2 linked regions of the Schizosaccharomyces pombe genome follow. Changing the gene in region 2 together with the main gene of any one other region gives a genetic interaction. Each region holds a gene or a part of one and is shown on either strand. Other genes may lie near its edges.

What was found. A genetic interaction does not mean that the proteins touch.
Region 1: mutations in mam301 (region 2) and luc7 together harm fitness more than expected from each alone (negative genetic interaction), as found in Schizosaccharomyces pombe (one large-scale study listed by BioGRID).

What each region holds. Positions count from the first base shown.
Region 1 is NC_003421.2:890,055-895,117, reverse strand, and holds luc7 (U1 snRNP-associated protein Luc7), read right to left. Parts: upstream 2,607-5,063; 5' UTR 2,399-2,606; coding exon 1,604-2,398; 3' UTR 1,282-1,603; downstream 1-1,281. Other genes in the region: RSC complex subunit Sfh1, read right to left, coding at 1-947; ubiquitin hydrolase Ubp1, read left to right, coding at 2,907-3,226, 3,452-5,063. UniProt on the Schizosaccharomyces pombe protein: Component of the U1 snRNP particle, which recognizes and binds the 5'-splice site of pre-mRNA. Together with other non-snRNP factors, U1 snRNP forms the spliceosomal commitment complex, that targets pre-mRNA to the splicing pathway.
Region 2 is NC_003421.2:1,170,982-1,177,119, forward strand, and holds mam301 (protein Mam30), read left to right. Parts: upstream 1-2,458; 5' UTR 2,459-2,508; coding exon 2,509-4,548; 3' UTR 4,549-4,669; downstream 4,670-6,138. Other genes in the region: nte1 (lysophospholipase), read left to right, coding at 1-1,805; transport protein Got1, read left to right, coding at 5,778-5,799, 5,845-5,891, 5,972-6,016.

The DNA.
Region 1 (5,063 bases), 280 kb from region 2:
CATTGTTTCACCAAATTCTCTCGATTGTTCTCATTCTTTTTGGCATCTTCAAGGGAAACTGTTTCCAGCACTGGTTGCCATAATGCACCCAAAGTATCCATGTCCTGACGAGGTCCAGCCTTCGTTCCAGGAACTGCATCACTGTCGTAATCTGGCAAATCACCCTCACATGCATTCTTTTTCAACTTTAAAAGACATTCATGGATTGCATAGGCAATTTCTGGTCGAGATTCCCCAGAAAGCCCCAAATCGTTGCAGGTTAATACACTAAATTCCTCAGGTGTAAGAGGACTCGTTAAATTCCATTCCACCTGATCATTGTAGCTTAACTGAGCAAGTTGAACTTGGATATTGAATACAACGAGCATTTCCTGCCCCTTTGGCATAGGCACCTCAGCCACCGGTGCATACTCTTCGATTTGTGCACGAATACTGGAACTAATTTGCGTTCCATATACATTCGTAGATAAATCTAAATCGGCACACAAGATTTGAGCAAACACATCCGGTGTCATTACTTGCTCGTTCATGTTCCATAAAAACGTGTCCTTGAGTCGATAATTGTTGGGCAGTTCAATATCCAGCCGTATTGGTATGTATACATCTCGTTCTTCTGCAGCGCATTTAAGCTGTTCGTCTGTAACGTAAATATGTCTTGTTTTAGTCGCGAATCTTGGATAGATGTTGTTTCCGGTTGGTCTGCCAACTGCCAGCCCCCGATCATCCGTTTCGAACTTTTCCTCTTCTTTTTCTGGAGTTTCTACTGGCGTTTCAAAATCCTCACCTTGTTCGAATGCGGCGTAATTAACCGCTGGAACATTTCTCAACGAATTTCTGCCTGTATACGAAGAATGCGACCTAGTCGATACTGCAACATTTTTTTGGATTAAGCATGTATTTCCCGTTTTCAAACGAGATGAGTATGTGGTTTTACAAGCTTGAGCCATGTAAATTGTGAAGTCGGTAGTTTGCACAAGTATGCCAAAAAACACTATGTAAGCCGCAAGTCAATTTACAGTTGGAAGTACTATGTTATGTTTTTATTTATTCTATATGATTGTATTAAACGTAAATTATAATCGAGAGTTCTTTTATCGGCCCTGATTTGGTAGAACCGTTGATAAACGTTTAATACTTCTACATTGCCACTGGACTTTCGAATCACAGAATTTTCAAGGATATCTATACAAAATAAAATAAAAAGTTAATTTAGTAAAATAGTTTGACTCCTTTCGATTTCAGATTCTCCAAAACAAACAGTTGCTGAAGGACAAGTAAGGATGGTTGGGTTAGTACGACAATATTAAGGCAAAGAGTTTATTCCTGCTTTATTTTAAGGATATACTTATAGCTGTTATTCAAATTGAAATACATATATCAATATACCTTGTGAGATTAGAAATAAACGAATATAAAATATAAGAGGTACACTTATTTTGTGCATGACATGAAGAATATTGTAAAAAAGCAAGTAAGGAAACAACCATAAACGTAAAAAGGTAAACATAATAATAAGATTCTATATAGGTCTGCGTAAAAGGCATCACTAAGCGAATAAAGGCGGTTAGTTGAGATCCTCCACTTTTTCATTACGAAATGTAGGTTATGCAACAAAGGAAGTTGAGATTTTATCTTCAAAAGAAGCTAAATTATCTCTTTGTTTCTCTCCGTCCTTTTTATCACGGGATTTTTCACGGTCCTCTAATTGAGCTCGAAGATCCCTAGCAATATTTCGCAGCATGGCATATCCAAGATGCATTTTTCCTGAGAAGTGATCAGCTAAACGACGATCGTTGTCTAATCTTGAAAGATAAGCGCTACAAATATCACATACTTGTAGCTTTTGATGCGTTGTGCTAGCCTGACTGGGAATTTCATTCATGGAAATCACTTCATCATATAATTCTTTCCTGTATGTCTTCAACCTATTAAGCTCAATAAAATGTTTAACTGCATCATTCACTAATTTTCTTTTTGCAAGCGCCTCCATTTCTGTAATAATAACTTCAATTGAATGGTCGGTATGTATTATATCTCGCATTAGCTCATCTATCCGTTCTTCCTCCTCTTTTGTTTTTTCTCTACGAGCTTCAGCAATATCAATACGCTTATTACAGTCATCAACATGTCTTTCTAGGTCTTCCAGATAATCCCACTCGTAGCCATAGTCATGTGAATAACTAGCCCGTTCATAATCCGACTTCAACTTGTCACTGTGGATCTTTGGACAAGGCCCCAAATCCATTTTAGTATTTGTAAATATATCATGAGGACAAATACCACATAAAAAGCTTCTGCAAACTTTGCGATCAGTGAAATGTACTAGGCCTCGAGAGGTAAAGTTACTCAAATTACTGCCCATCAACTGTTCTATGATTTTCCTCTGTTCAGCGGCCATAATAAGTGTATTTTCGGCAAAATGTAATTTTATCTCTGCTGATGTCCTATTTGTGGGTTTTCGACAAACGCTGTAAAATGAATAGAAAATTTCACTAGGTTTTACAAGTAGTATAAAGAATTTTTTCCTTTATTCACAATTAAATCAAAATTAAAGTTTACAATCGCTCAAATTTGATTGAGATGTAATTTGAGTAGCTTGTTGGGTTAAAATTCAAAAAAAAATTTCCCGGAAAAGTTCAAAAGTTGCTATTTCTAAATCGTTAAATATAGACGAGGCAATATATTGATACTTTATTCTTTCGATTAGATCAACTTTTACAAATTGTTGTTGAAAACTCAAACTTGACAGAGGGCAGCAATATGCGTCACCTGTATAAATCCTTTTTCACCATTTGGTACAACAAGTTTACTTAAACCAACAACTCCATTCCCCCAATTTTTTGCAATTTATAAGAGTGGAACTTGAAGAAACAAAAATATAACGAATAAATGACCATGTTTTGAGAATGGCATCAACTGCTACTCAAAACGCAAGCACTCGATATTCCCAAATTTGGATCGACCAACCTGCTTCATTGCCGTTCCAAGATTCGATAAATTTAATTAAAGAGGATAAAGAAAAATGGAAAAAAGAAAAAACTGCCTTTTTAATTGACTATGACTGGTTCGAAGGATACGTTGACTTTATATATGGAGAAGGCGACAACCCTGGTCCTATAACTCAATGGAGGCTGCTGGATGAAAAAAACGAGCTTAAACATTCTTTGGAGGAATCTATTGATTATAGCATTGTCTCTGCTTCGCTATGGCATATGCTTGTTGAGTGGTATGAATTTTCTTTAAAGGTCTCTACAGTACTTGTAAAAGGCATTATTAATTAAATTCAAAACTCATATTCATATATGTTTTGAAAGCATTGTGTCTTAGTTTTGAATATTTCATTAATTTATGTAGTTTGCATTACTTCCCACGGTGCCTAAATATATAGGTTCCCTTGGATTTTGAGGCCTCTTTTCAATTCCCATTATGTTATTAGCTAACTCAAATATAGGTTTGGATTAGAAGGTCTAGCTATAGAGCGAAAAGTTCTTTTGGTAGGATTGGCTGCTGAGCAAAAGCCATTCGTAGATATCTATCCTATAAACTTTACTTTGCACGTTTTATTCGACCCAATAAACGGTGAAAACACGAGCTATTCACCATTATACCAAATTGATGAACCATATCATAGTGATGAACCCTATGCGTTTAGCTTTTCCCGAAGTGATACCCTTCGGTCTTTGTACAAACAAGTGATGGAAGCTTTCCAAATATCTGATGGTACTTCTTTCCGTTTATGGTATCTAAACAAAAGTAATCTATCTTCTAGGTTTGTAAGTTTGTCGGAGTTCAATGATCAACCTGCGATTGCTTTGCTTTCCGAGTATGCTGTTTGCATGACTATTTTCGAAATAGATATTGCCGATGGAAGCTTATTGCTCGAGTTTCAACATCCTAACGGAGAGTGGTTATCTGACTCTATAACCAAAGAGCAAAATTTAACAATAAATAAAGAAATCGGACTCTGCGGTCTTTACAATTTGGGTAATTCATGCTATATGAATTCTGCCCTTCAATGTATGATACATACACACGAACTTACAAAATATTTTCTTAGTGATTCTTATGAAAAGGATATTAATTACAACAATCCGTTGGGAATGATGGGGAAAGTTGCCTTGTCTTATGCTAGTCTACTGAAGATGATCCATCATACTGCTGATATGCACTCGGTGTCACCTAGTTCTTTCAAATTTATAATTGGCGAGTTTAATACCTATTTTTCTGGATATCGTCAGCAAGATTCTCAGGAATTCATCGCCTTTTTCTTAGACGGGTTACACGAAGATTTGAATCGAATTCAGATAAAACCATACTTTGAAAGGCCAGATTTATTTGACGAACACCCATTACATGTTCAGAGAGTTGCAAATCAATGTTGGGATATTCATACAAAACGAAATGATTCCATAATTGTTCAGTTGTTTCAAGGAATGTATAAAAGCACCTTAGAGTGCTCCATATGCTATCAAAAATCAACTGCGTTTGATCCGTTCATGTATCTTACTCTTCCACTTCCTACTAGTGCAAAATGGCGACACAAGGTAGTGTACGTCCCGCCATTTGGCACACAGAGTCCTGTGGAATTGTATTTGGAGCTTCTCATGGAAAGTACGGTAATCCAAATGAAGTTTCAAGCTACGGAAAAGCTTCAAAAGATGGGACTCGAATGCGGGGAACTTACTGCTTGTGACATTTATCGGGGAAAGGTGTACAAGGTATTGAAAAATAAAGACAAAATATCTAAAAAAATTCATAAATGGGATCATGTTGTACTTTATGGAAGTACTGCAAACGGATTAACAATACCTATCGTCCATGGATGTAAACGACCGGCAATGCCCGGATCATACCAGTCTAACGATGTGTTTGGATTTCCTTTACAACTCAACGTCCGTTCTCGAAATGTACTCACAAATGATTTAGTGAAAGAGATTGTCGAACTGTATCGAGTTTATGCAGGCATAGACGTAGCAATCGGAACTCTTCAGCTTGGACTGAAGCGGATGGAAAGTAAGGCCGGGAAATGGGAATGCATAAAGGAAATTGAGGTTAAAAGGTTT
Region 2 (6,138 bases):
TGCTATTAAATAATCGCAGAAGTAGTACCCTTTTTGCCATTCGTGATTCTGAGTTGGCTAAAATTCCCGAAACCCTTTTTAATGCTTTGTCTTTAAGTCATCCTGCTGTTGGTTTACAGTTGTCAAAAATTATTGCAAACAGAATGAATTTGCTTCTTAATAACAAATCTATGGATGGAATGCAACATCAACCACATGAAAAACACAGCATTAGAACTCTAGCTATAGTCCCTTCTTCATCCACAGGTTTGCTCATTCTTTTCTCTCAAAAGCTTACTTCTGTGCTGTCTGTTATGGGAAAGTCGGTGAAGGTACTTAGACAATCTTCGGTTTTAGAGCATTTGGGAAAACATGCATTTAGTCGTATGGGCAGATTTAAGCTTTCAAGTTACCTAAGTGATCTCGAAGACAAATATGATATACTAATATACGTCGCTGATTCTGGTGTGGGCAGCGCTTGGTTGCAAACTTGCATCAGGCAGGCTGACTGTATCTACATTCTTGCTGAAGCCGATCAAAATCCAAATATTGGAGAATATGAGCAACATCTTATTGCTATGAAGTCAACTGCTAGAAAGGAGTTAGTCTTGCTTCACCCCGAAAGATTTTGCCCATCAGGCTTGACAAGACTATGGTTGAAAGAACGACCTTGGGTTTATGCCCATCACCATGTCCAACTACGCATTGGACTTGATAACGAAATATCCCAAAATAATGAGGCTAAGGTATTTTTAAACATTATACGAGCAAAAGTACAAAATTTGCATTATGGCTTTCGAAAGTACATTGATTGGAAGCACTTGCATCCGGTGTACCAAGCGAATCGTGCCCAAGACAGCGATTTTGCTCGTCTAGCCAGAAGGATTTGTGGAAAAGCCATTGCACTTGTTCTTGGTGGGGGTGGAGCTAGAGGCATTTCGCAAATCGGCATTCTATATGCGTTAGAGGAAGCTGGAATTCCATTTGACATTATTGGAGGAACCAGTATTGGAGCCTTTAATGGTGGTCTGTACGCATGGGAGGCGGATCTGGTCCCGATGTTTGGTAGAGCAAAGAAATTTTGCGGACGTATGGCGAACCTATGGCGATTTGTACTGGATGTAACGTATCCACAAGCAGCGTATACCACTGGGCATGAATTTAATCGTGGTATATGGAAGACTTTTGGGGAGATACATATTGAAGACTTTTGGTTACCGTTCTACGCCAATACCACTAATATTACCCATTCTCGCATGGACATCCACTCGAGTGGTTATGCGTGGAGATACATTAGGGCTAGTATGTCGCTTGCAGGCCTCGTCCCTCCCATGCTTTCGGATAGTGGGGACATGCTTTTAGACGGTGGTTATATGGATAACTTGACAGTCTCTCATATGCAATCATTAGGTGCGAGCTCAATCTTTGCCATTGATGTAGGTAGTGAAGATTCCCGCGAGCCAATGCATTATGGAGACACAGTGTCCGGTGTTTGGGCCCTGATTTCTCGATGGATTCCATTTATTCCTAAAACATCGTTTCCTTCATTGGCTGAAATTCAATCTCGCCTTACTTATGTTACTAGTGTTGCGACAGGTGAAAAGGTAAAATCGATGCCTGGATGCTTTTACATGCGACCTCCTGTTAAAGATTTTCCGACTTTGGAATTTGGAAGTTTCGAAAAAATCTATAACGTCGGCTACAATTACGGAAAAGAGTATGTCGAAAAATTGAAGACATCTCACAAATTAGATGATATTCTTTCTCCACGCGATACATCCAAGCGTCATCCCAAGTTTTTGTCTTCAAGACGTAATTCTTTGTAAGAAGGGTAAGATTTCGCATTTACTATGTTTAATCAGAACCGCATATGAAAGGTTTGCATAACGATCTCATGCACGTACTCTAGCAATACTTCGAATTAAATCATTAAACTTCGGAAGCGCTTACTATTATGAATAAAATTGACTATTTTATGAGAATCTCGGCAAAACCTGTGGCTTCTTTTAGTTAATACCCAGTTTGACCGATGGTAAATAAAGTTATTTTTTACTTTAGATTTATGAAAATTACTTTTCATCTCGTGCAGCTTTATTTTGCATACTTATCAAACCCCGGCATCTGCAATATTACACGTTTAAGCGACGAGATAGCGTTATCTTCCCAACGGTATTGAGTATATATATAGGCTCCCCCCCCAGCGTTTTAGTTCATCTTTACCTTCAACGTTAGATTGAACACCATTTTACCAAAAGATGATACACAAGCAATGATCATAGAATTTTATCAAGGAGTTTCGAAGATATATTAGTACTAATATTTACGAGATTTAATAGCAATACTATATTGTCCATTGTTTATTGTTACGTTACGTTAAATAATAAAAAGGTTATGATGCTAAAGTTCGCTAAAATTATTTAGTGTAATGCGCTATATGTGAGATTAAGGGTTAGATACGAAAACGCCTAACCTTTTTTCTACCACTTTCAGTGTGTCTAACCAGAATCTATTGATTTTGGTAGGAAGAGTATGTCCCTATTGAGAATTCGAAAAGCCAGTTTGTATGGCTTTTCAACAGTTTTCATATTATTGCAGAGTTATGCGGTTGCATATCCTTTAAGGGCGTTTAGACAGAATGATGGAATTGGCATTGCAATGAATCCTTCTCAAGATGGAGGTTTCGTTAGTGCTGAAAAGGATTCGGATTTTGAGTATTGGATGAAGCTAATTATTAGCGCTGTTTTGATTTTGTTAGGAGGTGTATTTGCTGGGTTAACTATTGGTCTAATGGGTTGTGATGATCTTCACCTTCAAGTTCTTGAACAAAGTGGAGATGCAAGCGAACGTGTACACGCCAGAAAGGTTTTGAAGTTGCTAAGAAGAGGTAAGCACTGGGTATTGGTGACTCTGCTGCTGGGAAACGTGATTGTCAACGAAACCTTGCCCATTGTATTTGATAGTATTATTGGCGGTGGTTGGCCTGCCGTTTTGATTTCCACCGCAATGATCGTTATATTTGGAGAGGTTATTCCTCAAGCTACCTGTGTTCGCTATGGTCTATCGATCGGTGCTAAGCTCGAGCCTATAGTATTATTCATGATGTATTTGTTGTGGCCCATTGCCTATCCTACTGCTTTGATTTTGGATGCTTGTCTAGGCGAATCGCAAAGCACTATGTACAAGAAATCTGGATTGAAAACCCTCGTTACACTTCATCGTGATTTGGGAATTGATAAGTTGAATCAAGATGAAGTCACTATTATTACAGCTGTTTTGGATTTACGAGAAAAGCATGCCGAGAGTATTATGACTCCCATCGAGGATGTTTTTACACTTCCTATGGATCGAATTTTGGATGAAGACCTCATCGGAGAAATTATTTGTGCCGGTTACTCTAGAATACCCGTTCACAAACCTGGATTTCCTCATGATTTCATTGGCATGTTGTTGACAAAAACCCTGATCGGCTATGATCCTGATGATAAATGGCCTGTTGGCAAGTTCGCCCTTGCTACTTTACCTCAAACGTGGCCAAATACATCTTGCCTTGACTTGTTAAATTATTGTCAAGAGGGAAAGAGTCACATGATCCTTATTTCAAATAGTCCTGGTGAGCCTCATGGTGCCATTGGTGTTATAACACTTGAAGATATTATAGAGGAGCTAATTGGTGAGGAAATTATTGATGAAACAGATGTTTATATCGATGTCCACAAAGGCTTGCCCAGAGTTGGTGAGAACAATGATTTTTGGAATCGTATGCTCCATCGTTCGCATTTGAGTACTATGGCTGCTCTTCACAAGAGCCAACGCAGCCATGACCTGGCTGCCAATGAACATGCTCCGATATTGAATCCCAAGAACTCTGCTCTTAATCCCAGATTAGTGACTAATGATCGTGTCAAGGTGAAGAGCCCTTCGCTTATTCAAAGCTCTACTGGTTATGGGTCAATGTCGCAATCACCTTCTCGCTCCGATTTACCGAGCAAAATTTCAAGAGTAAATGCAGAATTGCAGGCGCATGGCAGTCAGCGTTCCAGCATCGATGTTTCCAAGGAAAACAAATCCTCAGTAGCTGATGGTCCGTCTAGTCAAGCTCATAATGGCCCATCTACACAACCTCCTGAAGCTTTACCGAACGGAACTGATCCTTCATCATCAAAAACAACAGAAAACAACGGCAACCAACAATCGGAAAGGACTGAATCAGCTGATGGAAAAAAGGATAATTCCGGAAGCATATCATCGAATTCTTCTAAGACCTTTACAGGTAAGCGTGTAAGGTTAGGAAATGTTATAGAGAGTAATGTTGTATCACCCGATGGAACGAATCGTATTGTTATTGAACCATTTGAGCGCTCAGTAGATCCTAATAATGCTGACATTGTGGAAATGGTAGAACGCAATGGTATTGTTGTTCCCAAGGTTACGGTCACTTCTCATGAGGACGATGTGGATTCAGTTCATAATACACCTATGAGTGTATCAAGTACACTATCTGTTAAAACGTCATCTTCAAAGGTACCTCGAAATAAGCGGAAACGAAGAAAAGGTAAAAGCAAGAAATAGACGGCTGGATTATTGAATTAGTACTGCTGATACCTTGATACCAGTGTATTACAATCGTTCCTTTGTTTCATTTGTGATTGATTATTTCTATTTATTAAGCTTACTATTTGTCCATTGAGCCAATAAATTAAAGAAATTGGAAAAGCAAACATACACCCCTTTTTGTTTAGTTTGTACTGCGATTAGTTTTAGATTTATTGCTTTAAAGATTTTACAAAACAAGTTTAAAGAATGAAGCTGTTTTGTTCGGACCTGGTAAACATTTTATAATTTATCCCGGCTGTTTAGTCCGATTACACATTGCTGATATTATTTGAATGTTTTCAACTACCTGCTACGAACCTATGCTATGCTTTATGCGTAGCTACGAGAATATTACATTTTTGGGGGGTTTTTAACTTATTTAATTTTTTAGATATGAGAAAGAATAAATTGTCCGCATTTTGAACTAGTATGAAAGTGTTCCCGATTTGCATAAGAGCAAATTAAAGCTTCATTTGAGATTTAACGGCTGTCTTATTTTTTGGACGATGTCGTTTATTCCGAGTGATATTAAAGAGGCACGCTAAGGTGATGAGTAGTAATCTTGCTAAAGTGTAAAGTAAATACACAGTTAGATACAGGGTTGTTTCATAACTAATTGAAAGTCATAAATTCATTGAAATACTACACTTAAAATCTGCTAGGAATGAATACGCTGTACTCCTTCCGCCTCTCTATTGTAGCAACGCAGTTTGATATATGTTTTAACAGTACGTAGTACTGCGGTGAGTTACCTTTGTGATTTATTTATTGCAATACGTAGGTAAAGCAACTGAGTATAGGTATTATACTATATAAACTGTATTGTTACCTATCACAATATACTTATAATTAAACTGAGGGACGACGAGGTTCAGTTGAAGCTCTATTTATAATCTTCCTAATCGTTATTATTATCTTTTTATATAGATCTATATTTGCTCTTAATTCTCAAAAAAAAAGAAAGACCTCAAATGATTTTAACATATCGTATATAGTGATACGCAACGTAGTATCAAAGTGTAGTGTTTTATTGATGACACTATTTTAATTACAGTATTGTTTCGTTCTCGGTATTTTCTTTCTCACGCAGACTATGTTTATTATCTCAAACAGTATAATCTTAAAAAATACATACTAGATTTACTTTCTAAGCCTTAGAAAATACGCTCAATCAACATTCAAAAATTTGTATTTAGAGAATAAAAATGTGGCTATCGGATTTACAGAGTATTTTTTTAATTTCAGGAAAATAAGTTTTAACTGTTTTTATAGAAATTGGGGTCGGTACGACTGCCTTGGGATTTTTGTTCATGATTATGGTAAACATGAATTCTCTTTCGCTACCAAGTGAAATGGATCATCAAATTGACAGAATAAAGTCATAATGCTAACATTTTAGGGAATTTTCATGTTTTTTGATGGACCTCTATTGTCGCTTGGTAATGTATGTTTAGTAAACAAACATCCTAAGTATATGAAGTGTCCTTAGACGTGAATTATTAACTTTCATTTCATTTCATTGACTCACATATATCAACTCTCTATTATTCCTGTATAACACTAATA